Macaca fascicularis: one gene and its partners. The protein of the gene in region 5 purifies or fractionates together with the protein of the main gene of each other region. This does not show direct contact. Links are inferred from orthologs where the notes say so. Each region holds a gene or a part of one and is shown on either strand. Other genes may lie near its edges. The genes, in order: DYRK2, COPS7A, COPS7B, CEP78 and DCAF1.

The links.
Region 1: the proteins of DCAF1 (region 5) and DYRK2 purify together in Homo sapiens (affinity purification with western blotting; 5 studies listed by BioGRID and IntAct, with this or other methods). This does not show direct contact. The link is inferred for Macaca fascicularis from reciprocal best matches to the Homo sapiens genes DCAF1 and DYRK2.
Region 2: the proteins of DCAF1 (region 5) and COPS7A purify together in Homo sapiens (affinity purification with mass spectrometry; 4 studies listed by BioGRID and IntAct, with this or other methods). This does not show direct contact. The link is inferred for Macaca fascicularis from reciprocal best matches to the Homo sapiens genes DCAF1 and COPS7A.
Region 3: the proteins of DCAF1 (region 5) and COPS7B purify together in Homo sapiens (affinity purification with mass spectrometry; 3 studies listed by BioGRID, with this or other methods). This does not show direct contact. The link is inferred for Macaca fascicularis from reciprocal best matches to the Homo sapiens genes DCAF1 and COPS7B.
Region 4: the proteins of DCAF1 (region 5) and CEP78 purify together in Homo sapiens (affinity purification with western blotting; 3 studies listed by BioGRID, with this or other methods). This does not show direct contact. The link is inferred for Macaca fascicularis from reciprocal best matches to the Homo sapiens genes DCAF1 and CEP78.

Annotation. Positions count from the first base shown.
Region 1 is NC_088385.1:74,403,572-74,409,901, reverse strand, and holds the start of DYRK2 (dual specificity tyrosine-phosphorylation-regulated kinase 2), read right to left. Parts: upstream 3,764-6,330; 5' UTR 3,373-3,763; coding exon 3,324-3,372; intron 2,707-3,323; coding exon 2,558-2,706; intron 2,529-2,557; exon of another isoform or gene 1,697-2,528; intron 1-1,696. UniProt on the Homo sapiens protein: Serine/threonine-protein kinase involved in the regulation of the mitotic cell cycle, cell proliferation, apoptosis, organization of the cytoskeleton and neurite outgrowth. Functions in part via its role in ubiquitin-dependent proteasomal protein degradation.
Region 2 is NC_088385.1:7,647,548-7,652,435, reverse strand, and holds part of COPS7A (COP9 signalosome complex subunit 7a), read right to left. Parts: intron 3,103-4,888; coding exon 3,027-3,102; intron 2,805-3,026; coding exon 2,716-2,804; intron 1,776-2,715; coding exon 1,573-1,775; intron 618-1,572; coding exon 512-617; intron 351-511; coding exon 199-350; intron 21-198; coding exon 1-20.
Region 3 is NC_088386.1:127,715,444-127,721,048, forward strand, and holds part of COPS7B (COP9 signalosome complex subunit 7b), read left to right. Parts: intron 1-1,402; exon of another isoform or gene 1,403-1,437; 5' UTR 1,438-1,453; coding exon 1,454-1,615; intron 1,616-4,229; coding exon 4,230-4,305; intron 4,306-5,605. UniProt on the Homo sapiens protein: Component of the COP9 signalosome complex (CSN), a complex involved in various cellular and developmental processes.
Region 4 is NC_088389.1:108,875,047-108,880,651, forward strand, and holds part of CEP78 (centrosomal protein of 78 kDa), read left to right. Parts: intron 1-546; coding exon 547-682; intron 683-1,851; coding exon 1,852-1,897; intron 1,898-3,537; coding exon 3,538-3,666; intron 3,667-5,605. UniProt on the Homo sapiens protein: Centriole wall protein that localizes to mature centrioles and regulates centriole and cilia biogenesis. Involved in centrosome duplication: required for efficient PLK4 centrosomal localization and PLK4-induced overduplication of centrioles.
Region 5 is NC_088376.1:114,509,132-114,515,481, forward strand, and holds the start of DCAF1 (DDB1- and CUL4-associated factor 1), read right to left. Parts: upstream 4,028-6,350; 5' UTR 3,901-4,027; intron 1,483-3,900; 5' UTR 1,436-1,482; intron 1-1,435. UniProt on the Homo sapiens protein: Acts both as a substrate recognition component of E3 ubiquitin-protein ligase complexes and as an atypical serine/threonine-protein kinase, playing key roles in various processes such as cell cycle, telomerase regulation and histone modification.

The DNA of each region.
Region 1 (6,330 bases), on a different chromosome or scaffold from region 5:
TGTGGCCCTAAGTAAAGTGTCTACTTTTTCTTCAAAATACTGCCATTTTTTAAATGTGTATTTTAATTCGAATTATTTTGTAAAACTGATTAACTGGAGAGTGTTTTACATAGTAAAACAGTTATAAAAGTTACACATATTTTAATATTTTTGAATTTAAAATACTTCTATTAATAACTGCCAATTAACATTAATAGAAAAATAATAGGAAGTAACAGGCACACTTCTATCTCTCACACAAACAGAAATAAATTACTAAAGTGTAAAACAACTTATGCATGGAGATATAAAACAAGAGGGCAACGGACTAGATAAATTCCAAAGCTTATAATCTTTATAATCATATATTTGACCTGCCTAGTGTATCACCTGTAAGAGAAAATGTGGGCAAGCTCCTATGACAAGATCATTTTTATCTCCTTAATGCCCTCCCCACCCCCCATTCATTCTAGAAGTTCTTCCTAGGTGTAATTACTCTGGAAATAATAACTAAAAATTTATAAAAATCCGACAGACATATGAGAATATGGATCTACAAAGGTTCTTGCATTTATAATGAGGCTAGTACAATTTCCTAGAATTAGCAGTCTCCATCAGCATATTAAAACTAGATGCAGGAGGGTGTAGGCTTTCACTCCGGCCTTGATATGAACTGGCTGGGGAATCCTGATGAAACCAGTTACCTTGTCTGAGTCTGTTTCCTCATCTATAAATTGAAAGACTAGAAACAGATAAACTCTGTGGTCCTTTTAACCTTTCCTGTACTATGAAATCTGCGATGTTACAGAAATAAAATCAAAACTAAACCACCATCGAAACCCAAATTCACACCTTCAAAGTCAAGCATCTAATAATTAACAGCATAGCGAAGTTTACACACACGTTAAAAACAAGTAAATCTGGCACACGCCACAGCAAAATACAGGCCTCCATTATGAGGAGTACTGAGAAGCACATTCACATCCTTCCTTTTCTGGTGCACCACAGGCTCTCCCTCCAGTGGAGACTTGTCGTTTTATCTACTTTCATTACATGTATTTCAATGGCAAAGAGGCTTTGATCAAGCAAAGCCCATCCTTACAAAATTGGAATCCACATGCAAACCAAATAGCTCTTTTTCCAGGTCACACCATGTCATGTGATTACATCAACACATAGAAAAAAAAAAAACTGGATATTACATTTTCCAAATTGTCAGATGATCCCAAACAAAAAATCTAAACCCCTAAAATCAATGGCAGTTCGTTACCTAAATTTTCACTGCAACAAGAACACTGAACAGTAATATACAGAATCATCCGTCCTACTACCATCCACAGTCCAACACAGATGAGTTAACTTCTGTGCAATGAATTCCCAGCCCCTGGGACCAGATGTGTCAGGACAGAGACAGACAGAGGGAGGGGGAAGAGTGTAACAGCAACAAAACATTTTCCTACGAAACTTGCACACGTCTCTCCAGGTCTAACAGGTGCAACTACGGTCTAGACATCCCCTCACAGTTCTCTGACAAACAAGTTTCCCCATATGTCCCCAGAGCTACTCCCCTGTAGGCCGGGGGATGGCCTTTTTTTCAAGAACTCAACTTTCGCTTGGCAAATAAAACCAATTCCTGGCAAGCATCCCTCACACAGAACCATCTTAGGCTGTTCCTGTGGAAAATCCAATCGGGAAAAAAAGACCTCCAAACCATCACCTCCTCCAAGTGCAGATCTCCTCCAGGCTGGCCATCACCATCCAAGGGTGATCCCTGGGAGCTGAGAAAAGGTACATGCTGAAGTCGAATCCAGCTTGCCAGTCTCCACAGCCACCAGCAACCAGTACCACGCTGGCCTCTCCCCTCCCTCTGGGCCCTGAGAGACCACAGCACCTGTTAGGTGCTTTTTCCTTCCCACCTCCAAAGCAACGCTTGCCCTTTCCTTTTGAATAACGTCCAACTGCAGAATCCTACAGGGGTGGCTTGTTTTGACTGCTGCGGCGGCTCTTATTTTTGTTAATGTTAATTACAATTTCTGCTGTGCTCAAACCTGTAGCACTCATAAAACATGCTTACACACGCGGGGGACAATTGGCGATGCTCCCTGCTGGCTGGAGCCAGGCCTGGGAGGCTCTTTGGGGGATCGATTTTCCAGGCAGGCCGGTCTGGCTGTCCCCTAACACATATCTGTTTCTATAAATACCCACTACCCACGGGGAGGTGGGGGAAGGACAGAGATGTTTACCCGGTCAGGGAAAGGGAGCTCTGGGATGCAAGGACGAAAAATGAGGAAAGAAGGGAAGCAGCAAGGAGGAAGTTCCTAGGAAGAGGAGCTCATGGCTGGGCGGGCTCCGGAGGGGAAGTAAGGGGCCCACGCCACGAATCTTCCTTTGTGGCTGCAGCTTTGGGCTCGCCCAAGTTAACGAGGGCGGCGTCGAGGAGAGGCCACGGGCCCGGGGCGTGGGGCTTCTTGTATCTCGACCCCTCTTCTCCCGGCGTCAGAACCCTCCAAGTCCGGGTGCTTCTGCCTGGGGCCCCTCCCGCCCCCACCGCCCGGGCCGCCCGCGGGCTGGGTCTCACCGTGTGGGCTGCGGCGGCAGCGTTGCTGGCCCGGAGAGGCGGCAGGGCGATGGGGGAGGGCGGGCCGGTCCCCACTCCGCTCCGGGTGGCCCCCGCACCGAGCCCCGGGGAAGCCTGAAGCTGGCGAACGGCGCTGTCCCCACCTCTGCCTGGAAGCCACGTGCGGGAGGAGACAAAAGAGGGTCAGGGGGGAGAAAGTCACCCAGACTACCCCCCACCCCACTGGGCAGCGACACCCCTCTCCCAGGGAAAGACAGAGGAAGAGACCGGGGCAGTACAAACAAGCGTTCGGGTCACGGCTCCCCAGCGCACACCCACGGGCGGGGCGCAGGCAGCTGCAAAGTTAAGTCGGGCCCTGGCGCGCGAGTTCGCGACCCGGCGGGGAAGCCGGACCACGCCGGGGCTTGGCGGCCCACATTGCAGACTGCCAGCGGCCGGGAGGTGGGTTTGGACAGCTGAGCAGGGCGCCACGGCCACGCCAAGCCCCGGGCAGAGAAGGGCGGGGCGGCAGGCCTGGACGGTCCCCGCCCGGGCCCCTGGCAGGCAGAAGCCTCTTCGGGCGGAGGACTCCCCTCGGAGGGGCCTTCGGCGCCGCGCGCAACCCTGCGCGGAGCCCGGAGCGCGCCGTCCGCCCGGGGACTCCCCCGCGCCGCGCCGCCGACTTTGTTCGAGGTCCCGCAGGCAGCGGCCGCCCGCGCCACGGGGGCTGCCCTGGGTCGGCGGGGTTCCGGGGGGGGGGGGCGGCGCGGGGGCACGGCCTCCTTACCGGTCGGGAAGGCGGCGGGAGCGGCGGCCGAAGGTTTCCTGGTTAACATGGCCGCTGGAGAGGAAAATGCATTTCAGGGCTGCCGTCGCCGCCGCCGGTCCTGCTGCTACTTCTGGCGGCCGCCGCCGCCGCCGCCGCCTCCCGGCCGCCCCTCGCGCGGGTCCCCGGCGCCTCGTCGCCGCCTCGCGTCTGCTACAGCCAGACACACACAGTCCACTGCATCCCCTCGGCCCGGGCCCGCCGCCGCGAGCCCCCCGCTCTCCTCCTCGCCGCCGTCCTCCTCTTCCTCGGGCGGCTGCAGCACCCTCCGGCCCGTGCACATGCCTCGCCCTCCCCTGCGCGCCGCGGGCCTCCCCGTCTCCCTCACATAGGGGCGCGGGGAGCTAGAAGCGCCGCGAGGACCGAGAACCGCCTAGCTCGGGAGGCTCTCCCGGGCCCGCGCGCGCGCGGCCCCGCGCACTCACACACAGACACCGGCGCGCGGCCCCGCCCCCGCCGCCCTCCGCCGCCCTCCGCCGCCCTCCGCCGCCCTCCGCCGCCGCCGCAGGCCCCGCCCCCGGCTCCCCCGGCCCTGGCCCCCACCCAGCCTCCCGCCTGGCCTCTCTCCTCTCCCCGGGTCGCGCGCAGCCGCCCCTCCGTTCCCCGGAAAATTCGGCGGGCTCCGCTCGCCCTCCTCCGCCCCCTCCGGCCATCTGCACTGCTCCCCTCGGCTCCACTCCGGCGACCTTTTCCCCTCCCCGGCCTCTCCGGCCCCCTCGGAGCCCCTCCGCTGCCCTAACAGCTCAACCTACCGCTGCTGCCCTCCGGCCGAAAGCGTCGCAGAGACCCCTCCCCTGCCATGCCCACCCCTAAACATAAATGCATTTTCAGCTCTTCGAACTGAATGGCTGCTCACAGACAGTACTGCGTCCCCGGTCCCCCATTCTCAGTCGCGGCGACTTAGCCACTCCCCTCTCCCCAATTCCTCATGTAGATAACTTAGTTGTGCGAGGGTCACCTCGGAGAGTCAAGTCCTGGGAGGGGCCGCCGCTGAGCTCGTTGACCCTGAGCAGGGGCGAGAGAGGGGGCTGCCCTCCCACCTCCACTACACACACCCTCCCCGGTTTACTGACACCAAGTGACCGTTCGCCAGTCGCTAGGACAAGGGGAGGCAGAGAGGCGCGTGTGGACGGCAGCTGGGGAAGCAGTTGGCTGTGGGTTGCTAGGCAAAAATAAACATCAGAGACACCTCCTATTTCCTTACAACTCCGAGCCTTTTCCTGGCGCGGCCACTGGGAGAGACACACCTTCCTTTGAGCTCTGCGGTGAGGGAGCGACACCTCGAATTCCTCTCACCCCAACCCGACGCATCTCTTATAAACCCCTTCCTTTACAAGAAACTTAGAGAATTTCCCTGCCTTTTTTATTCGCCATCTACAACCTCTCTTTTCCTTGAAGACCAAAAAAAAAAAAATTGCTTTCCCGTCTCACACCCACGCCTCGTCGTGCGTGGCACACGGTGCGCCTCTGTCCAAAGGTCACAGGTGTTGCCACTTCAGCCGTGAGAGCAGGTGGGGTGGAAAAGCCCGACAAATTCCGAATGACGGGGCAGAGTTATGCCATGCACTTCCTTCTCGAGAGGTGCCTAGTTTCTGAAGTTCTCTTGGGGTCAGGGGTCCATTACGCTCTGCCCCGCCCGATTATCTCTGGCCCCTGGCTGGACCTACTGTGCAGGCCCGAACTAGTGCAGACTCCAGTCGGAAGGGAGTCACCTCCTGCGGAGTTTCATCGCCTCTACTGTTTGCAAATTGTCATAGCAACCTCCCACAGAGCGCACCCGCAGCTTTATACAAACGCCAAAAACTGTGTTTCAAGGTACAGTGTGACCTCTCAGAGTCTCTGGGACTCCTAAAGAGGCCTCCAAGTTAGGGACACTGGGAGAGGGAAACTGTGACAAAAAGAATTTTGCCTAGTATCACGTCCCTCCAAAAAAACAAAACAAAACCCTTTGGGGCCTTCTCCTAATAAAGTAGACCACAGTAAAATAATCCAATGATATGCCTTTAGATGAATCATGACCTGAACTGACCCTTGCAAGAAATATCCCCCTATGCTTGTCACTAGCGACTATCACATTTAAATCTACATGCGGAAGCATATTTAATGTTTAGAATCGACTAAAAGGCAAGGGCTACTCAGTAGCAGAGATGACACTAGAACCGGTTTTCTGACTCCCAGTCTGATTTCACTGATTTCCATCACACTACTTTCCTTACACTTTCAAGAAAGCTCACACCTCTTTTCTTCTCCTTTCAAAACACTTATTTTATACCATTTTCCTTTTTAAAATGAGTATACAACTGATGTTCAAATAAAAAAAAGAAGCAAAAATATCAATTTTAATATAATCCGACAGCCCTTTTTGCTTAAGTTATTCGTACAATACTTCAGTAGAAGCTAAATATGCCACTGTTTTCTCATGAATAAAATAAATGCTAGTTACTGGAAGCCATAGTTTACAATTTCCAAATTAGTAATATTAATTTACTCATTTAACATGAGGAAAAGGAGTGCTGATTCTTTTTTTTTTTTTTTTTTTTTTTTTTTTTTTTTTGACAAAGGAACACAATCATTAACTTTAGGAAAATAAAAGACATTAGGGAACTTTTTGTAGTTTGTTATTTTATATCATGACAAATATAATTTCAATTTTATATATTTTTTTGTGGCTTAACATAAGGAAATACTGCAGTTAACCTACCCCATGGCTATTTTGGTTATAAATGGTACATGTTTGAAAATTATATTAAATTTTACTGACCTCTAAATGACTATTAACCATTGCTTAGATTTTCCTTATTCTATTAAATATGGACATCTCCCTGAGTGAATGTTAAATGGAAAAGTTGTACAAACACACTCCTGGGGCTTTGGGGAGAGTAAAGTGGGTAAATTTGGGGAGTTGTTTCCCTCAAATTTTATTATTATAATGCATCATTATCAGTTATCTCATATAATTACACATATT
Region 2 (4,888 bases), on a different chromosome or scaffold from region 5:
TCTTGGCACTCCCTCGGAGCCTGGCAAGGAGAAGAGAGAGAAAGAGAGAGAAAGAGAATGCAGGGAATCCCCTAACCTCTGGAGGTTCCCCCCACTCCCTACTCCCATGCAAGTAACTGAAGGAAATGAGGACAGAGAGGTCCCTGGGGTAAAAGCAGGGCACCCTGGAAGTGAGCAGTTCCTGCTACCCTGGCTCACCCCTTGCCCTTTGAGGCTTTCTTGCTGGGCTGACGCTGGTTGGTGCCAGGAGCTGGTTCCCTCAGCTCAGTCAGGTGTTGCTCAGGGTCCTGAGATGTGGCCGCGGCTGCTGCTGCCGTTGTAACTTTAATGGTTTTTTTAAGGTTGGCAACCTACCAGGATGAAAGGAATGGGGATAGCAAGGAAGGTTCCAGAACCTTCCAGCCCCTGCTCATCTGGTTGTCTGCTACAGCCACTGTCCAAATCCTCTCTGCAAAGGACAAGTGGCCCAGGCTGGGGGAGCTTGGGTCTGCCCGCTCCCCTGACTGCTCACCTCACTCTCAATCTGCTGCTTTAGGCCCAGTTGCTGCTCCTTGTGCTGGTTGGCACGGCTCACCTGCTCCTCAATGCCTGACAGCACAACCTCACAGCCCACACACCTGCGGGAGTCAGGGCAGAGAAGTGTCAGCAGACAAGGACTGCAATCACAGACTCGCAGAAAACGGACTCAAAAAGAACCCTAGAGGCAGGGCGCAGTGGCTCACCGCCATAATCCCAGCATTTTGGGAGGCCAAGATAGGCAGACTGCTTAAGCTCAGGAGTTCAAGACCGGCCTGAGTGATACGGTAAAAACCCGTCTCTACAAAAAATACAAAAATTAGCCGGATGTGGTGGCACGAGCCTGTAGTCCCATGCTACTCGAGGGACTGAAGTGGAGGGTGGCTTGAGCCCTGGAGGTTGGAGGCTGCAGTGAGTCAAGCTGGTGCCACTGCACTCCAACCTGAGCAACAGAGCCAGAACACAGCTTCAGGCATTTTGAGTCTGAGTTGGGAACCCTCACCAGGGCACCTAGAAACTACCTGTGATAACACTCCTAGCAGTGGGATGGACACTCAGTGTGGTCAGAGAGCGATAAGGAAGTGCCTGGAGTAATGTGCAAGATGGGAGTAGGAACTAAAAACAAAATAGGGCAGGAGATGCTAAAGAGCAAAAGAGGTGACTTAATGAATACAGAAACCCTGAAGTTAGATGGGGACACAAAGAAAATAAAAAAGAGGAAAAGGTCCATGGCCTGTGGACAATGGTAGTTATAGACCAATCGACAGAATCCAGCCTAAGATAGGCGACCAACCTTACTGGTTAGGATCCCCTCAGTTGTACCACTCCCTTTCCCTCCCCCAATTGCTGTATCAAAGACGCTGACTTCTGCCGCCTCCCAAGGTCTCCCCACTCCTGCATTCCCCAGAAGCCTTTGGAGGGATAAATTCATTTCCCTTCATCCTCCTGGGTTCCACCTCTACAGACCAGCCCAGCTCTTGCCCTCTCTCACCCTGAAGCGCCTTTCTCCTTCTCAGGGTGACAAGGAAGGGGACAGTGCCAGGATACGGTTCTCACCATTCCTGCAGGGTTCGGGCAATGGCATTGAGGTCCTGGCGCTGGATGTCCCGCCCGATGCTGTAGTCAACCTCGAGCCGCTGGTTGCGCTGGTCCAGGGAGCCACGAAGCACGTCAGCATACACAGCCTCAATCACAAGGTCTTCCAGCTGCCGCACATTACGCAGGGCAAGAGACTCCAGCAACACTGCATATGGGATACACTGGGGCCGCGCAGATCAGGTCAGGATTTGTGAGGTTCCGCACAGAAAAGGGCTTCCAAAAATCTTCCCTCCTTTTCCCCCTGCCCCAGCACACCTGCCCTCCACTCCCATTCCTAAATCACTTCCTCTAAGAGGCTGGTTCTAAAGCAAAATAAACAAAAGTATTCCCACTTCAAAAACAGCATCATTAGAAGCACAATCTTAAATAAAATACAAAATGCTCCCCTAACACCCTCACCCCTGCCACACCACAGAGGGAGAAAATGACATCTGCCTGGGTGTCACTCCTTTGGCCACAGTTCAGGGTATCACCCGGTCCTCAGTCAAGATCAGCTTGACATAGGGGAGAAAGCGGAAGTGGGAGAGGTCTGGAGTTACTGTTTATCATTTATACTCTGCCTGCTTGCAACAGGCATTCCTTTGGAGGTGTCTCTCAATAGAGAGCCTGGTTTAAATTAAATCCCGAGGACAACTGAGAGTCAAGTAACTATTGCGAGCTGCAGATTGGGCAGGCTGGGGAGGTGGATGGTGATATTAGACAAAAAACAGCCATTAATAATGGGAATATACAGATACTTCTGGGATATATATTTCTCATCCTAACAAAGAGAAGCCTAGCACTTCATCAAGAGAGAGTCTGGTTTCCTGCAGTAGGGAAGAAGGTATTGTTGAACAACACCTGAACAACATCCTAGTTGCTATTTTGACCAAATACACAAAAGATGTTTATTTAGAACTTAGGTTGATTAAAAAATAAAAACAACACAGAAAACTAAGAATACTATCAGCCTAAACGGTTGCTAATGGAGTTTATATACAGACCTTGGACAAGGGGAGGGCAGGAAGCAGCCATGGTCCAGACAAAGGCTGTCCTAGTGTGGACTCCCAGGGACATACAAAAGGATGCTCAAGACCGTAGGACTGGGGGACTGCCACTCACCTTTACTTTAGCAGCCAGGGTGACAACTGAGAGGTGTCGAAGCTTATTCTTCTGAGCCTCTGTTAGTGGAGGAAGATTCCGGGCTTCAGCTAGGGAAAAATGACAAAGTGTAAGGAATCCTGATATCAGTTTTCTGGGAAGCCCTAGCCTCCTTCCCTCCCCTCCCATGTTCAATGCCAATTCAGGTCTTGACACTGACCCTACGTGCCCAGGGGATCTAAGTGGGATATCCTGGGAATTTCTTCTGAGTCCCTCCAGAAATTGCCCTTCTCCCATCTCCATTACTCCAGAGCACCACACCCTCTGGTTACCTAAGTAGTCAGCGTATGTCCCATAAGCAAACACTGTGAGCAGCCGGAAGGTGGAGGCAAAGTCACTCTCAGCCAGCTGCAAGAATGAAGACAAAGGAGGTGACCCAAGTCTTCCTCTCCACCCTCCCAGCCTTACCCTGTGTGGAACTCCACTTTTTGTTCCATCTTTCCCAGCCAATGTTAACTCTCCTGGCTCATCAAAAGCAGTTCTCTGCCTCTCTGATCACGCTTCCCACAGGAAGGGCGCATTTCCACCTTCAGGCCTTTGCTTACACTATTCTCCCAATCCACAATGCCCTCTTGCTCCATACGCCATCCAATTCCTACCCTAAATTCAGAGTTGAAGACATTCAGTTTTCAGAGTCGAACAGACACACGCACCAGACACCGCAAATTGTGTTGTCTGGCCCTCAGAGTGTTTGATATTTCTAAATTGGAATATGTCTGGGCAGTGTGCAGTACTCCGCAATTCAACAGATTCCTGCCTCGGCCTCACTCATCTCTGACAGCTGCACAGCCTAGAAAGACATCTAAATTTGTGGTCTCTGCTTCAGACCCACCTGACCAGGACACTGTCTTGCATCGCCCAGTCCAGTCCACCCAGATTTCCTCTCCTATCATGGATCACTCATTCTGGCATTTTTTTTTTTTCGCGACGGAGTCTCCCTCCGTCACCCAGTTTGGAATGCAGTGGTGTGATCTTGGTTCACTGAAACCTCCGCCTCCTGAGTTCAAGTGATTCTCCTGCCTCACCCTCCCAAGCAGGTGGGATTACAGGCATGCACCATCACACTGGGCTAATATATGTATTTTTAGTAGACACAGGGTTTCGCCATGTTGGCCAGGCTGGTCTCGAACTCCTGACCTCAAGTGATCCACCACCTGCCTCAGCCTCCCAAAGTGCTGGGGTTACAGGCATGAGCCACTGTGCTCAGCTTCATTCTGGCACTTAATCAATCCTTGCAGAAGGTTGCTACCTAAGAATATCTTTCAACAAGATTATAGACCCAGTCTCTGGTATCCCACAGAGCTATGCAGTAATTGCCTCAGAAGAAATACTCGCTAAATAAATAAATAATTTAGATTTATATCCATTCATCTTATCTCTTCTGATATTTTTCTTGTATTCCCAGACCATAAAAAGGGCAGTAAACAGCCACTCAATAAGTGCTTCTTTTTCTTTTTCTGAGTCGGTGTCTCGCACTGTCACCCAGGCTGGAGTGCAGTGGTGCGATCTCGGCTCACTGCAACCTCTGCCACCCTTTTTTTTTTTAAATTATACTTTAACTTCTGGGATACATGAGCTTTTTTTTTTTTGTTTGTTTGTTTTTTTTGAGACAGAGTCTCACTCTGTCGCCCAGGCTGGAGTGCAGTGGCGCAATCTCGGCTCACTGCAACCTCTGCCTCCCGGGTTCAAGTGATTCTCCTGCCTCGGCCTCCCAAGTAGCTGGGATTACAGGCGCCTGCCACCACGCCCAGCTAATTTTTGTATTTTTAGTAGAGACAGGGTTTCACTACCTTGGCCAGACTGGTCTTGAACTCCTGACCTCATGATCCACCCACCTCAGCCTCCCAAAGTGCTGGGAACAGGCATGAGCCACCAAGCCCGGCCCTGTTTTTTGTGGGTTTTTTTTTTGGGACAGAGTCTTGCTCTGGAGTGCAGTGGCGCCATCTCAACTCACTGCAACCTCCGCCTCCCGGGTTCATGCCATCCTCCTGCCTTAGCCTCCCGAGTAGCTACAACTACAGGCGCCCGCCACCATGCTCAGCTAATTTTTTTTTTTTTTTTTTTTTGAGACGTAGTCTAGCTCTGTGGCCCAGGCTGGAGTGCAGTGCCCGGATCTCAGCTCACTGCAAGCTCC
Region 3 (5,605 bases), on a different chromosome or scaffold from region 5:
ACCTATTCCTTCCCTTCTGCCTCATATCCTCTCCTCTTCTCTTTTCCCTTTCCCTTCCCTCCTCAAAACCCGTTGTTCCCCAGCACGTCACTTTTTTTTTCTGTGTCTGACCGGACCTTCTTAGGTAACCCTGAGTGAGGCGACATACTTGTTTCTGTAATACTGTGGAAGGTTAACTATTATGTGTGCCTGCCAACACAAAACTTAGTTTCTCTTTCACCAAACTATTCTTCGAATTGTTCTTTGCTCCACTCTACTATACCGTCTTTCGTTCATTTTGTCACGCTGCTGTAATATGTATCATTCTTAGAGGAGAAATCTTACCTGGAACTCCTGTACACTCAGCTTGTAATTAGATTACACAGTTGAGGGACCCTCCTGTACTTAATGTCTTCGGAGCGCTTATAGAATATTTTCACTGTTTTCCCAAATCTTTTTATTGTTTTCTTGAGTTCTTTTTACACATTCTGAAGTCACGTTTGGTTAAAATGTCGTATCAGGAGGAGGCCGAATACAGGGATTTTCCCCCATGGTCTTACACAGCATGCATGTTCTTAGTTTGGGTATGTCGCTGTTTTTCTTTCAAAATGATGTCTCCCTCTACCTGTGCTTACCTGACTTGATTAAATGAGACATCTTTCTTGTTTGGTTTTTTGTTTTCCTTATCTCTCTGGCTGTAGATGGGATTCTGATGACACAGTGGGAGCTGTAACTGATTGCTTTTGCTTACGTCTGGTGCCTCTGGGTATAGGCAGTATCCTTTATTTCTTAACCAGAATATGTAAACGAGGTGGATATAAAACAGCTGCTGAGAAACTCCTGTGTTTTTCTTTAGCTCCTGGTCAGGTTTAAGGACTTAGAAGGTGTTGCCTCTGGAGGAGGGGCAGGTGGAAGTGAAATGACTTTTACAGAGTGTGTTTCAAACACCAGAATTTAGTAAAAGATCCTTTTAACTCCAGGTTGAACTCCACCCATCTCCCAAGGTGGTAATTGCATCTGGACTCAGGAACTGTTTTTTTGTTTTGTTTTGTTTTGTTTTTTAAAAGACAGTCTCGCTCTATTGCCCAGTCTGGAGTGCAGTGGCGCGATCTTGGCTCACTGCAACCTCCACCTCCTGGGTTCAAGCAATTCTTGTGCCGCAGCCTCCCGGGTAACTGGGACTACAGGCATCTGCCACCAGCCTGGCTAATTTTTGTATTTTTAGTAGAGATGGGGTTTTGCCATGTTGGCCATGTTGGTCTCGAACTCCTCACCTCAGGTGATCCACCCACCTCAGCCGCCCAAAGTGTTGGAATTACAGGCATGAGCCATTGCACCTGGCCTGGTTTTTCTTTATCAACACTATAAAATTAAAGTATTCTGGTGTTTGATTCAGCACTAAATAGGCATAGACTTTGCAAAGGAGAAGGAAGAATGACACAATTTTCTTTTGGACAGATTTCAAGGCCAGAGAATGGCAGGGGAACAGAAACCCTCAAGTAACCTCCTGGAGCAGTTTATTTTATTAGCCAAAGGTACCAGTGGCTCAGCCCTCACTGCTCTCATAAGCCAGGTCTTAGAGGCTCCTGGAGTGTATGTCTTTGGAGAACTTCTGGAGCTGGCCAACGTGCAGGAGGTAAGAACGGTTTTCAAACAATTTCTCTGTCTTTGTTCTGAGACTCTCTGTAATTCTCCAGGTTTCCAAAGAATTTCAATGCTGAAGTATTGTGAACCTGTGAGGTACCCTATTGAGAGAGGGATGGGAATTGGTGGGGCAGAGGAAGAGATTGAGAGGATATCCTTGGGTCCTTTTATCCAGTATTTTTATCTCAACTTGGGTAAAATTAGATTGTTGCTAATAATAATCTAAAAGATAGTAAAAAAGTCAAGTTGATCCTGATAAATTAGAAAAGTGCTATAAGCATGGGCTGATGTTTAATAGGGGTAGATTCAGGCATTCTTAGGGACCAGAAACCTCCAGTGCATTATCGATAAGGAGGATTGGTCAGGGACACACAGCAGAAACTTACTGCTATTGAACATAAAATGGACATGAATAGGAGTGTATTTTTCTTGTGGAAAAGGACAGTGCTATGCTAAATGTGTTAGATATGACATGAAAAGCTAGGACGTAGTTCATTTTACGTGTTTGCTTGCTTGTTATTAAAACCTTGGGTATCCAGTTTTGGTCATTGTGCCTCAAAAATGAGAAGATCCATTGAACAGAAGGAACAAAGAGATGTAAAGCAATCTATACTTCTCCACCTCTACTTCCCACTTTGAACATTTTTATTTGTTTATATTCACTTACTTGAGAAAAGTCTGTGAGCATCTTTATTGCTTTGTAGGGTGGAGGGTCATACTCAGGAGCTTTTGGTGGATCGGTGGGGCAGGTCCCCTTCCTCTTCATCCTCACAGGCTTCTGGCTTTGCAGGCTGGTGCTGGCTCTGTGGAAGGCTGCCACGCACCGATCTGGGTGGTGGTACCTCTTGTGGAGCATGTGCCGGATGCTGTTGAGAGTGGCCCTGCAGTTCTTGGTGGTGGCGATTTGCATATAGGAGGTGGTTTGCTTTTGTTAGGCAGTTTATCACCTTCGTGACCACTACAACACCTTTGCTGTTGGCTCCACATCCACAGTCAGTTTTAACAAAAGGAGTTGCCGGCCTTCAGGTTGTTGGATTCGGAGCTGTGTGTCCTCCTGTTCCTCTTGATGGGGAAACTGCAGCAGTTCCCCACAGCGCAGCCATTTCAGGTGCCCACTTATGACTCCTCTACCTGTGATGGTCAGAGATGAGAAGAGCCACTTTTACTTTTTCATTGTAAATTTTTATTTAATTTCAGGCTTGCTTGCCAAACTGTAATCTCTGTGAGGAGGTCTGTAGTGCTCAACATTGTTTCTTTAGAGCTGAATACATAGCCTGACACACAGTAGGTTTTCAATAAAAATTTAATTTGCCAGAAGTGGAAAATGAGTTTTATGAAGAAAATTTGAGAGAACTGGGTTCGTTTTTCAACACAAGAGATGACCAAAGGGTAATATGTTCCTTCAGGTTCATGAAAAGCCTGCATGAATATGCCAAGTAGTTGTTTTGTAACTGTGGAAGATTGGCTAAGAGGAGATGGTTGGAAAGTAAAGCCAGAAAGGCTTTATTGATTTAGGCCAGGGGGAGAAGTGTTGGAGTATCTGCTCTGGAGAAAATACTCTTTTCCGGCTAGTTTTATGTGTCTGAAAAGTGGGGGCTAGATTGGATGGTCTTTACCAGGTTTCTTCCCCTTCTGATTCAGGGACTTCAGGAGGTTTGTGGTAACCTGAGAAAGTAGCCTGAGGTATTAGGATGCTGGAGTTCTCCATAGGGTGCTTGGCAGACCGCCTTTATCTCTCCATACATTGCGTTTTTCCTTATGTGAGCTGAGAATAAGCTGGTTGCCTTTCAGTGATCTGAAATTATAGATGCATTTCTTGGAATCTTTATTTTTTTAAAGGCTAAAATTGAGTAGTACCGCTATTCCTGTTTAGAGGTTACTGGGCTTGGTAAGTTGGAAGGGTAACAGGAGCACGTTTGTGATTTAAAAAAAAAAACAAAAAACTCACCAGTTAACGTAATTGACAGCAGAGAAGTTACAGGCAGAACAGTGGCTCTTTCGTTTTTCTTCTACACATGGCTTTTTGCCATCAGCATCAGTGAAGAGTAAGTAATTTTAATGAACATTTTGATTTGGAGCAGACTGATACACTGGTTTTCTGTCCCAGCCTGGCTTTCTGTCATGCCCTGTGATGTGCTGGTCTCTCCCAGGGTTCATAGTCCACATGTAGTCCTGAAACTTGGAAGCAACCCTGAGCTTTGTTCACTTTGGGTTAGTGGTGGCTCATGCCATACCTACCAAGCTAGTATGTAGATATGGCTGCTGCAGTCTTTGTTTTAATGCAAATAGAATCTTGAGAAGATTTGAACTCCTTCCAATGCTTAATGCTTTGTATGTGTGTGAGAGAGAAAAGCAGTTCCTTGGGCATGCTGTGTAGAAAGTAAAACATTCCCGAGGGAGAGATATTAAATTTGGGGCTTTAATAATCTTGTTTATTTTTTCCCAAAGAATCAGAGTTGGAAGAGAGACCCCAGGGGCCAAGTAATCAAATAGTACAGAATAAACAGCCATGGCATCTTTGACACATGCTCACCCGTCCTCTGTTTGAACACTACAGTGATTGGTAGACAGTTTGGTCTGTGGTGAACTTTTTTTTCCCTCCTCAGCTTGCGGAAGGAGCTAATGCTGCTTATTTGCAGTTGTTGAACCTGTTTGCCTATGGGACATACCCAGATTACATAGGTGAGTTGGTGAAGATCCTTCAAAAGACTTGTCTTAATTATGTTGCTCAGTTTGGAAGACCATCAAGGTTTGAGATATAAAGCATGGGGTAGGGGGGAGACTTCTTGACCTGGCTGCCTCCCATTTTGCTGTGCCTGGTAGGTGACCTCACAAAGGGAATTTTCCTTCTCACCTTTTGTATTCTAGTGGGTAAAATGGGGACTGTGTGTGCTCATCCACAAATGTAGCCCTTGTTTATTTTCCAGACGAGATTCTTGAGGACTGGTGTTTGTAGGGCTCTTGGAGTGCCATGAAGTGTCAGAATACCCACCTGTAGAATATTTCAACATTTTAAATATTATCAAAATAATACCAGCATATTGAAGAAAATTTGGAAAATAGATTTTTAAAAAGTCACTCATAGGCTGGACGCGGTGGCTCATGCCTGTAGTCCCAGCGCTTTGGGAGGCCGAGGCAGGCAGATCACTTCAGGTGAGGAGTTTGACACCAGCCTGGCCAACATGGTGAAACCCTGTCTCTACTAAAAATACAAAAATTAGCTGGGTGTGGTGGTGGGCACCTGTAATCCCAGCCACTCTGGAGGCTGAGGCAGCAGAATTACTTGAACCTGAGAGACAGAGATTGTGGTAAGCTGAGATCGCACCGCTGTACTCCAGTCTGGGCAACAGAGCAAGACTCTGTCAAACAAACAAATAAATAAATGTCACTCATAGTTGTATTTCCATCAGACATTTGGATGCTGGACTTTCTTGTGCCCCTTAAGTTTGTGTTTTGTATTACATAGGTATAACTATGTATATAGTTTTATGTCTTGCTTGTTTCCCACTTATAGACATTTATCCATATTTTAAGTCTTTGTAATATTTTTAATATTTCACAACCTAATATTTCATAATCTACTTAGCCCATTTTCTGTTGTAGGGCATTTGAGTCATTTTAAATTAGAATCTTAAATATTAGGATGAGGTATTTGTGTGTCCAAACACTAACTTACCTTCTACCCAAACCATTTTTTTCTGGCTTTCCTACCCTTTTTTAATGGTATGACAGTAGCCTGATACTCAGGGTCTTCTCTATGATATCCCTGACTTCTTCTTTCTCCCTGGTCACTTCTACTTTGTGCGGCTCTCAGACTAGACAGTTTGCCACTTCCTGGTACACCACATTTTTTTCTGACCTTCCCTTTGTTCCAGGGAGTGTGTTCTGTTTTTCTGTCCTCGCTTACTAAAGAGGCAGCATTGCAAACTCTGTTACCAGACTGCGTGTAGCCAGCCTGGCTCCACTTCTACTAGTTGTGTGT
Region 4 (5,605 bases), on a different chromosome or scaffold from region 5:
ACTCTTATAACTTGGATAATTTTTCCATGATAAAATTAATCTCACATTGAAATTTTGGTCCAATTCAGAAGGTTCTGTTTGGTAGGAGTCATGGGTATATCTATGTTCTGTCCTTGAGATTCAGGAATGCCAAAAATATTCTGAGATTTAATAACAATATTTCTGCATAATGCATAATGAAATGTATCACATATAATCTTTCATTCTTTGGGTTACATGTTTTATTTACTTTTTCATGCTCTGCATGTCTCATATATTAAAGTTATATTTTAGTTAAAGTGATAACTTGTTACTCTAGACAACTTATATTTTTAATTTTTATATATTTATTACATTTTTAACTTATATTTAAATATATTAAAATATATTTATTCTTATATTTATTAGTGGCCTATGTAAAAAGATATTTACAAATTGATCCTGATTTAATGGCCTTGGTGTCATTGTCAGGTGCCCATTGGTATTCTTTTAAGAGTATGCACATGTGCTAATTAATCTGTAGACCTTTAGTGCATCTTAATTCTTTCTTTTTAACACTTTCTCAAGTAGGATTGGCTACAAAGAAACCTGTAAGTAGTGGCAGAAAACACTCCCTTGGTAAAGAATATGCGCCCGCACCTCTACCACCTGGTGTGTCTGGTTTCTTGCCATGGCGTACTGCAGAACGTGCAAAAAGGCACAGGTAGGGTATTTTTATTTTCTATCTTTTAGGATAAAAATGGGATTCAAAATTCTTTATTTTGGAGCTTCTATTATGTGAGAGTTCTCTGCTTATGTCTATAGGGTAAAAATGACTCATGTGGCTTCTGCCTCATGAATCCTTTAAGGAAGAAAAACAAAAAATAATCTTAAGTAGGGTTTCAAGTTATTAAGTGTCACAGCAAGCTGTATCCTTGTGGGAGTCCAGAGGAAACTGAAATTATCTCCAGTTGTGCAGGTGAGGAAAGGTTTCATTTAAAGCATGTGCAGTTAAACCAAGTCCTATAGGACAGAAGTAGGAATTTGGATATTTAAGATTGGGGAAAGGGCATTGTAAAGCATAGGAGAGTGTTGATTAGACTTAATCTAACTCAGCCAACTGGCCTAACTCATTTTAGTGAATCATATTTAGTGAATCAAACCAGATATAACTAGTTTTAGCCAGTTACCTAGGGGGTAGCTATTCATAGTAATTTTTGTCAGAAGAATGTTTTTAAAATGTTGTACTATAATTTTATGCTTAATAAATGAATTAGATTACTATAAATTGTTTTCAAATGACTTTTAGTATTCAAGAAATTGGAGATTAACAATTGCTTAAGAAGACAGAGAACTGATTTTAAATAGGACTGGAAATAGGTGCTATGTGAAATATCTGTTCAGTTGCTCAGATTAAATTGAATATGTATAATCTTTATTAGGCAACTGATGACTATACTTATTTTACAACTGTAATGTGAATTATTATTGCATAAACTGTAGTGCTGAGGCCCTGGTCTTTACACTTACATTTAATAACTGCAGTTTCATGTCTTCTTGAGATACTTACTCATTTCAAGTCCCATCTTGGTCACAAGGAGTTGTGAATTAGAGAACAATTAATATCACCAGTTAAAGAAGTTAAATTGGAAATCTGAACCATCCTGAACATAAGAACTACATGCATCTTCAGAGACTTATCCCAAAGCCATTCTGCTAAATTGTTTAATTTTCTCCATAGCAGAGTTTTCCAGGCCCTTATCTGGAGGTGATTTATTTCTATGCACAGTTATGTATGGATAGTCTACATAATACTAGCAAGTGTTATTACCTAGTGTTAACTGGTGGTGTATTTACATCAAAATATAACTTAATTTATCAATATCTCTTTAGGGGTTTCCCATTAATCAAAACACGTGATATATATAATCAGTTGCAGGTACGTAGTTACCGTGTTTATAATATGTAGGGGGTTGGAATGGGAAGGGTGGAAAATCATTCTCTGTGCTCTTTAAACGGAATAGAGTTTTACAAAAACATTTCCCTCCCTGAAGTAAATTCATTTAAAATTTTCTGGGTTTTCCCAGTGCCACAGTATAATCGTGTGGCTATGTCACACAATGGAGGCCTTGTGGTTTCATCTGTGTAGACAGGAAGTCATTTCTCTGGGTCTGCAAATTAGCTGTTGCCCCTAGTGAAACAAATTTGACCACCATTTCTCACCTGGCACATGGAGTTATCATAGTCAAGAATGTCCTTAAGTTTAAAAGAAATGTTTTTTGGGGATACATATTTTATATGTATATAAAAAAATATATAAATTATATGTATATATAAACATATATAAATTATATATATAAATATGTATATAAATTATATATAAATGTATATAAAAATTCCAGATTCTAAATCCACAATAAAGCAACCAGTCCTAAAGCCTCTGCTTTCTCAGAGTTTTTCTTCCTCCCTTGTCAGGATCAAACACATTCCCTGTCATTCTGCATCATGGTATTAGAGCAAGCCAATTCTTTCAGAGTATCAGGTTTTCCTTTTCAATTGTTTTTAGAGACTGTAATTTCTCTGTAAAAGGTAGCACTACTGAGATGAAGGAGCACCTGTGTGTCGGTACTGCTCCTTGCATAGCCAAAAGTATGGGCGTGCATCTCATTCTACCATCTAGGATTTTCAGGTACTGCAGGATTTATGCTTGTAGTAGATACTGCATTCTCGTGACTTCTCTTCTGTACAGTTATGTATCCCGGCACTCTTCTTTTTGATCTGTGGACTTTTTATGGGATTGTGACACAGTCAATTTTGAAATATTTGGAAATATCATATTGAATAACATTCCAGTGGCATTGAAACTTGACAGGAGAATTGCATTGTTATTACAGTAGTTTTTGGCTTAAGAATGAGGAAAAGATGAGGTTTTTGATGTCTCAGTTTTAGTTGTGTGCATGTATTTGGTTAATTTTTTTTTTAATTCTAGTTTTTGTTTTATTTTGTAGAGACAGGGTCTTGCTATGTTGCCCAGTCTGGTCTTGAACTCCTGACTTCAAGCAGTCCTCCTGCCTTGGCCTCCCATAGTGCTGGGATTACAGACCATTCTAGTGTTTATTATTCACAGTTTAAATTATTCTTCCTTCTTTGTGAGGCCTCCACTGATGGATTTTTTCTCCTAAAAATCATACTTTCTTTAAGACTCTGTGTGTGATGGTAGAGAATAAATTTCTCATCTGCAGTTGATCTGAGAAAAAATGTTTACCCTGCCTCCTCGCTTGGTTTATGTGAAAAAAGTGTAATAAAATAATATAGGTTCTTTTCAGAAAGATTTTATTTAAGAAAAAAAAAAATGGGCGATTCTAGTATTAATTATAAACCTTGTATGAGAGAATTATTTCAATAACATAGCAAGAATAGTGTCTTTTTACTTTGTTATTGATTGTGTTAGGCTAGGGAGTAGTGATAGACATTTATAGAGAATGACTTAACACTTCAGAAAGATCACTTTGATTAGATGTCCTTTAGTATTTGGTATTTGGTTTATATTATTATACAATCTTGTTCTCTTTCTTTAAGCAACCAGGTTTTCCTGTGACTGTGACAGTAGAGAGTCCTTCATCCTCTGAAATTGAAGAGGTTGATGATTCTTCAGAGAGTGTTCATGAAGTGCCTGAGAAAACTAGCATAAAACAAGAAGCATTACAGGTACAAAGCTATCACTTTAAAGATATGGAGAAGATTATTTCAAACTCTAGTTAGTTTCTGGTGAAAGCTTGATTAGGCACTGGACAGCTTGCATGGGAATCCTTCTATCTCATATCCCTTGAATGGTTCTTTATCATAGAACAAGGTAAAAGGAAGGACATCTGTACTCTAAGAAATAAAAATTGAAACATGTCATCAGTAATCTATTTTCCTTTCCTTAGAATTATAGAATATTAGATTTAGGGAAGGCCTTAATGATCATAAGATAAACTCGATGAAATTAAGCCCTGAATGAATGTAACCAGCTGATTTAGGGCTCTTTGGGAGGCCTTAACTTTTTTGTGTGTGCTAGGAAGTCCACAATTAATTTTTTAGAATTAATATAATTTTCTTTTATATGAAACTTAGAAATATAGAAATAATTATCCCTTTTTTATATACTTACATTTAGCTTATAAACAACAGGAATTTATGTCTCACAGTTCTGGAGGCAGGAGAGTCTAAGATCAAGGCTCAGGCAGATTTGATGTCTGGCAAGGGCCTGCTTTCTGGTTCATAGATGGCTTTTCACCATGTCCTCACATGGTGGAAGGGCAGTTACCTTATTTTTATGTGACTATGGAAATCACTTTTTGATTTTCAAAAAAATGAAGCCTGATTTTCATTTTTAATATTAAAATTAATAGTATTTATATAGAAAAATTTTAAGATAATTATAAAAATGATAGAACATTAGAGGGAAAAATTTATAGATAATGTAGAATTGTCCCTATTATAAATGAGCACCTATAGTTTGTAGCACCTGAGTGGTTTATTGCTAAGTTCCAGAGGAAAAACAAAATCCTACAATGTCTCATTCATGTTCATTATTGTTTTAAATGTGTTGTATTTATTTTCTTCACCGGGGATTAGGAAATTGTATTCTAAAAATGATTATAGCCACTGAGGAGACCAAGAAGGTTATGAAATACAACTTGGGAATTTCTGATTCAAGAGGCACTGAGAATTTTCTCAGTTCTTTTCTATTTTAAGAACTCTTTAAAATGATGTTATCAAAATTTCTAACACATGTAAGCCTACAATAATCAAGAGAATTGAAGAGATTTCAACATATTTTTGAAATACAGGCGACAGATGGAAATGAGTATGAAACCGAATCAGTAGAACAGAGGAAAACCATTGCCTAGAATATGCACAGGGGAAGCCTACAGCTCAGAGGGAATCTAATCCCTACTCCAGAAATGGCTCCATACACAGATATGCATATAGGAAAAAGGAGAAGGGAACTAGAAACGTGACTAACATAGAGGGAGCTCCTTGACAGTTTGTATGTGGAAGAGTTGACTCCCAGCCTTACCTGCACTCTCCTGAAATGAGATCATTTGACTTTGAAAAACAGTAAAGTAACTGGGGAGAACTAGGGTAGATAGTGTGGATTTTGCACCCTAGAAAAGGGTAGCTGAGGATATCCTGCCATACTGGCTACCCACTTCTTCATGCATAGGAAAAGCCAGTCATCAGCTCCCAGTGATCCTCCGCTCCCTTATTCTTAAATAGAAAATAACCATGATTCACCTGATAGTTGAATAAAACTCACAACATGACAAGGAAAATAAAAGATGAAAAATATGTCCTGGTAGGACCAGAGCTAATTAAGAGAACAAAAATACTTTAAGAAAAAACCCTACTTAACATCCTTAGGTTTGTTAAGTACAAGTATGAAAGATACAGCGCCTGTAAAAAAGAAATAGGGTGTTGGGAGGCTGAGGCTGGTGGATCACAAGGTCAGGAGCTTGAGACCGTCTTGGCTAATACAGTGAAACTCTGTCTCTACTAAAAATACAAAAAAAAAAAAAAAAGCCAGGCGTGGTAGTGGGCGCCTGTAATCCCAGCTACTCGAGAGGCTAAGGCAGGAGAATGGCGTGAACCCAGGAGGCAG
Region 5 (6,350 bases):
GTTGCAGTGAGCCAAGATCGCACCACTGCACTCCAGCCTGGGCGACAAGAGCAAAACTCCATCTCAAAAAAATATTAATAATAATAAAGAATAAAAAAATATAAAGGCAAGGCGTGGTGGTTCACACTTGTAATGCCAGCACTTTGGGAGGCTGAGGTGGGAGGATCACTTGAGCCCAGGGGTTTGAGACCAACCTGGGTAACAGTGAGACCTTGTCTCTATTATTTAAATACATAAAGGAAAATATAAACTTATAATAGACTTAATAATAGCAATGTGAATTAATTTAGTATCAATGAAAACAGTCAGCAACTGGGTGTGCTGGCTCACACTTGTAATCCCAGCACTTTGGAAAACCTAGGTGGGCAGATCACCTGAGCCCAGGAGTTTGAGACCAGCCTGGGCAACACATGATGAAATCCTGCCTCTATGAAAAAAATTTAAAAATTAGTAATAGTAGTACCTACTTCAATGTTTGTTTTTTAGTTTTGATTTTTTGTTTTGTGAGACGGAATCTCGCTCTGTTGCCCAGGTTGGAGTGCAGGGGCGCAATCTCTGCTCACTGCAACCTGTAGTTCCAGCTACTCAGGGAGGCTAAAGCAAGAGAACTGCTTGAGCCTAGGAGGTGTAGGCCACAGTGAGTCATGACTGCACCACCGTACTCCAGCCAGAGCAAAAGTGCGAGACCTTGTCTCAAGAAAAAAAAAAAAAAAAGGCTGGGCACAGTGGCTCATGCCTGTAATCCCAGCTCTTTGGGAGGCCAAGGCAGGCAGATCACCTGAGGTTGGGAGTTTGAGACCAGCCTGACCAACATGAAGAAACCCCGTCTCTACTAAAAACACAAAATTAGGCCGGGCACAATGGCTCACGCCTGGTAATCCCAGCACTTTGGGAGGCCGAGGCCGGTGGATCACAAGGTCAGGAATTCGAGACCAGCCTGGCCAACATAGTGAAACTGCGTCTCTACAAAAATACAAAAAAAATTAGCCAGGCATGGTGGCACGTGCCTGTAATCCCAGCTACTCGGGAGGCTGAGGCAGGAGAATCACTTGAACCCAGGAGGCAGAGGTTGTGGGGAGCCGAGATCGCACCACTACACTCCAGTTTGGGCAACAAGAGCAAAAAGACAGTCATCTTCACCTTGTTATGCCCAAGACAGTGAGGATGCATTACTCAAGTTCTTAAGTGAGTTATTTAAGTGCTATGAAGAAATGATGGTCTGTCCAATGGTGACACATAGTTACCAATTAGTGAATATCTAGTATGGAACAGACATTGAGTAAGTAATTTACTACACTTACATTATTCTGAATTTTCACAACCATCCTACCCTTTTTTACACATGAGGAAACAAGCTCCGAGAGGTCCCCAAGACCAGCTAGTACTAGGTAGAAAAAGTATTTCAAGGATTCAAATCCCAATTCTGCTGACATACCTGTGAAGTCTTGGTTATTTAACTTCTCCAAATCTCAATTTCCTTATCTGTAAGATGGAAACAGTTGTTGTGCGGGGTTAAATGACAATATTGTCCCCATGGTGGGATAATACAAAGCCTCAAGAAATACTTATGTAAAATTTCCTTATCCTAACAAGTGTCTGCTAGCGTAGTCCACAAAATAAATATATAGATACCACACACAAAAACAGAAAAAATATGGCATAATATTAACAATTGTTTGCCGGGCACAATGGCTCATGCCTGTAATCCTAGCACTTTGGGAGACTGAAGTGGGTGGATTACTTGAGGCCAAAGTTCAAGACCAGACTGGCCAAAATGGCAAATCCGCATCTCTACTAAAAATAAAAAAATTAGCCAGGCGTGGTAGCACACACCTGTAATCCCTAGCTACTCCAGAGGCTGAGGCATGAGAATCACTTGAACCCGGGAAGCGGAGGTTGCAGTGAGCGGAGATCATGCCACTGCACTCCAGCCTGGGCAACAGGGCAAGACTCCGTCTCAAAAAAAAAAAAAAAAATTAAAAACTTGCCAGGCACAGTGGCTCAAGCCTGTAATCCCAACACTTTGGAAGGCCAAGTCGGGAGGATTACTTGAGGTCAGTTGGGCAACATTTCGAGACACAGTCTACACAAAAATTTAAAAATTACCCAATCATGGTAGCCTGTGCCTGCAGTCCTAGTTACTCAGGAGGCTGAGGCAGCAGGCTCCTTTGAGTCCAGGAGTTAGAGGCTGCAATGAGTTATGATCACACTCGAGACCATCCTGGCTAACACACTGAAACCCTGTCTCTACAAAAAATTAGCCGGGCGTGATGTCAGGCGTCTGTAATCTCAGCTACTCAGGAGACTGAGGCAGGAGAATGGCGTGAACCTAGGAGGCGGAGCTTGCAGTGAGCCGAGATCGCATCACTGCACTCCAGCCTGGGCGACAGAGCGAGACTCTGTCTCAAAAAAAAAAAAAAAAAGGGTTATGATCACACCACTGCACTCCAGCCTAGGCTACAGAGCAAGATCCTGTATCTAAAAAAAAAACAGTCTAGGTGTAGTGGCTCGTGCCTGTAATTCCAACACTTTGGGAGGTTGACAAGGGAGGATCACTTGAGTTCCAGACCAGCCTGGGCAACACAGTAAGACTACTGTCTCTACAAAAAATAAATGAATAAAAATAAAAAATTTAAAAACTGTATAATAGGCAGAACAGTAAAACACTGTACTCAGCAACTACCCAAGAGGTACTGAGCAAAAAATGATTTCCCTACACTCCCCAAATTCTCTATTATCTCAACATCCAAATATATATACCTACTCAAAAATGGGTAATGAATAACTGCTATATAGAAAACCCAAATGTTCACATCATTAAGAAAAATACTAAATCGATTCCTAAAGTCTACATATACACACATAAACATTAAAGGTAAACTCCAGTAAGCTGGAAAAAGAAAATGAAGGATATTACCAATTAACCTCTCATTCTGTACATTAACAATGCATTTTGAACAGGAAGATGCTACTAACATAAAAAATTAAAACGTGTAAAGACTAATTAAAAGGCTTCATCGAAAAAACAGGGTAAGGAAAAACCGAGACCAACATGACGTGGCCAAGGACAAGTCATTTCTGACTCAAAAATAACTAATACAAACACTCCAAAACTATTTCCTCAACAAATGGAAAACCAGAGCGCTGCCACTGCAGTAAGAGGAAGCCAGACAGAAAACCGTCTAGGAAGTGAAGTTGTGAAGCAAACGCTTCTGAAACCCCAGTTGAAAACTACTATAACCCCCGGAAACAGACTCCCGGGAAGTTTGGCGGGCACTCTGAGGTTTGACTCCAGGCTGCGGGACCCGCACACCTCTTTCCAACCCTTCCCTTCTTCATGGGGATGAGAGGAGTGACCAGAAAGCTCCGCCCCCGTCGCAAGGTCCAAGAGCCGGGCGGGTGCAGGGAGAGGTGGCACGAGGCCGAGAGACTGGAGAGCCCGCCCAGGTGACTGGAGCCGGAGGCGGAGACACAGTCCGTGAAGGGGCCCGCCGTATAGTACGGAAGATGGAGCCCCCCCAAGCCCGTACGGAACAGAGACTAGGAAGATTGGAAGGGAAAAGATGACAAGGGATATGACATGCGCCCCTCCCTCCAGGTAGGGGCTGACACACCCCGCCCCCCCACTCCGGGCGGAAGAGTTACTCTCGGGAAGCTTCTCGTGGGGAGTGGAGGAAGAACGTGGAGGCCCCGCCCCCGGGACAAGAATCAGGAGGAGGAAAAGTCCTGTCAGGCCCCGGGCCCAGCCTCCCGGCTGACCGGCCCGCCCCCTCCTCGCCGGCGGCCCAAGCAGGTGCCGCCCCTCCCCCAGCCCGGCGCCCACTCTGCCGCCCGGCCAGCCACGCGCCCTGCCTCCTCGCGCCCCTCCCGTAGAGTCGCCTCCCTCCATTTCCCACTCACCGTCCGAGGCGGCTCCGCCACTGCCCCCCCGCGACCCCGCCAGTGGCCACAGTTCACACACACAGCCTCAGGTCCCGCACTCACTCTTCACTCACATACACACACAGCGCGACCACGGCTCCACAGCGGCCCACATATTATGCGTCACTCGCGCGCTACGTGCACCGCGCGCGCGGGCGCGCGCGCCTACTTGGCGCGAGGACAGTGAGCAAGGGGCGGGAGGAGAACGCCTGCACGATCCGAGGAAAATCGAAGAGCCCCGGGGACGCCTGGGAAATGAAGTTCCGCGTCTAGGGGCGGGCCCACCAGTCCCAATTGACGCATGAGCTCTTCGCCCCGCGCATTGACTTCTGGATTTGTAGTTTTTTTGGATAAATGCGAACTGCTGAGTACTCATTGGCTGCTTCGGAAAGCGGAAGTGAAAAGTGAGGGAGTCAATCCTTCCAAGACAGTACTATAATCGCCTGATGCTTTAGTGTCTTGTTCTGACCTGTGTGCGCAAAGAGCCTCTGTTTTATTCGGCTATTTGCCTCATCTTACCTAGAACATACCGTGATCTAAGAAAATATTTTCTCATAAACATATCAGAAATCACAGCACTCATTAAAACAGAAGGCACTAGTTGTTTTTTATGTGTTTGTTTTGAGACAGAGCCTCGCTCTGTTGCCCAGGCTGGAGTGCAGTGACGATCTCAGCTCACTGCGACCTCCGCCTCCCGGGCTCAAACAGTCCTCCCACCTCAGCCTCCAGCTGAGACTACAGGTGCATGCCACGACACCCAGTTAATTTTTGTTTTTGTTTTGTGTGTGTGTATTTGGTAGAGACATGGTTTCACCATATTGGCCAGTCTGGTCTCGAACTCCTGGGCTGAAGCGGTCCACCCACCGGGGCCTCCCAGCCTCTTTGTTCTCCGTCTTTTTTTTTTTTTTTTTTTGAGACAGAGCCTCGCTCTGTCACCCACGCTGGGGTGCAATGGCGCAATCACAGCTCACTACAGCCTCAACCTCCTGGGCTCGAGCTGTCTTCCCACTTCAGTCTCCCAAGTAGCTGGGACTACGGGTGTGCACCACCACACCCAGCTAATTTTTTAAAATTTTTGTAGAGACGGAGTCCCACTGTGTTGTCCAGGTTGGTCTTGAATTTCTAGGCTCAAGTGATTCTCCTGCCTCAGTCCCTCAAAGTGTTGGGATTACAGGTATGAGCCACTGCGCCCAGCCTCTCTTTTTGTTCAAGACCTAGCCTGTAGGAATCAATAGATACTTATTGCCAGGTATTATACGTGAGGCAGAGAAGTGAAAAATCAAAAGCTCATAGATTGAGGCAGGACTGACCTCACAGGTCACTTAATTCAATTTCTTCATGTTATTGGGAAAAATGAGGCCCAGAGGGAGTGAGTGACTTGCCCAGCATCACACAACCAATTAGCAGAACCAGAAGACTCCTTACTCCGACCAGCGGTCCCTTTTGCGGGGCATAGAAGATAAACATGACTCCACATTTGAGGAGAATCTTGACCTGACAAGATCCTACCCAACCTTCAAGGCCTTACGCAGCTCATTATCTCTCTGGGAATGCTGAGCAAGTCTCCGTGCATTTCCATGAGTCTTCACGGACAATACTGTCACATGAACACAAGACACAGCAAGCCTGCCGCTATGCTCAGTGTTCCACAGCTAGTAAGGAACCTGAATCCTGGTTCCCTTGGTTTCACTCCCCACTAGATCCCATTTCCCTCTTTCCAGAAAAGAGACCATCCTCCTTCTCTTAAATGTGTACTCTACTGTGTGCTGGGAGCGCCACAGACATGTCACCTCTCTTCACTTCTTTCTCCTGCAACAACACACAGCTTTCTTCTCTGTGCTTCTGGAACTTTGCCTCTATCAGTAATGGCCACTACCATTTCTTTCAACTTTAGAGCATGCTGGGCTCTGAGCCAAGTGTTCTAGCCACACTCTCTCATTTAACCCTCACTACCCTGCCACACACACAGGGAAGATATGGTTAATCACCTTTACAGATGAGAAATCTGAACCCAGAGAGGTAGATCAAGGAATGGAACCCACATGCCTTTCCTCCAGCACTCCTTCAGGTGACTTTCCTGGGCCATGAACCTAAAATGTATGGAGATGGGACATTTAAGCCTTAGATATCTCCCCTCTGTCTATGGTCTAGCCGGCCCAGTGATGACTTCTCCAGTGGCTGGGGTCCTAAAAGGCAGAGCCCTTAAGGGAGCTCAAGGCCCAGCTCACCAGCTCCTGGCACTGCCTCAGCCTGCCACCAGATGGCACTGCTTCATTTCAGAAACCCAACCTGGTCAGCGTGCTGTGGCTCACGCCTGTAATCCCAGCACTTTGAGAGGCTGAGAATCTCTTGATCCCAGGAGTTCAAGACCAGCCTGGGCAACATAGAGAGACACCCCCCACTCCACTGTCTCTACAAAATATCTTAAA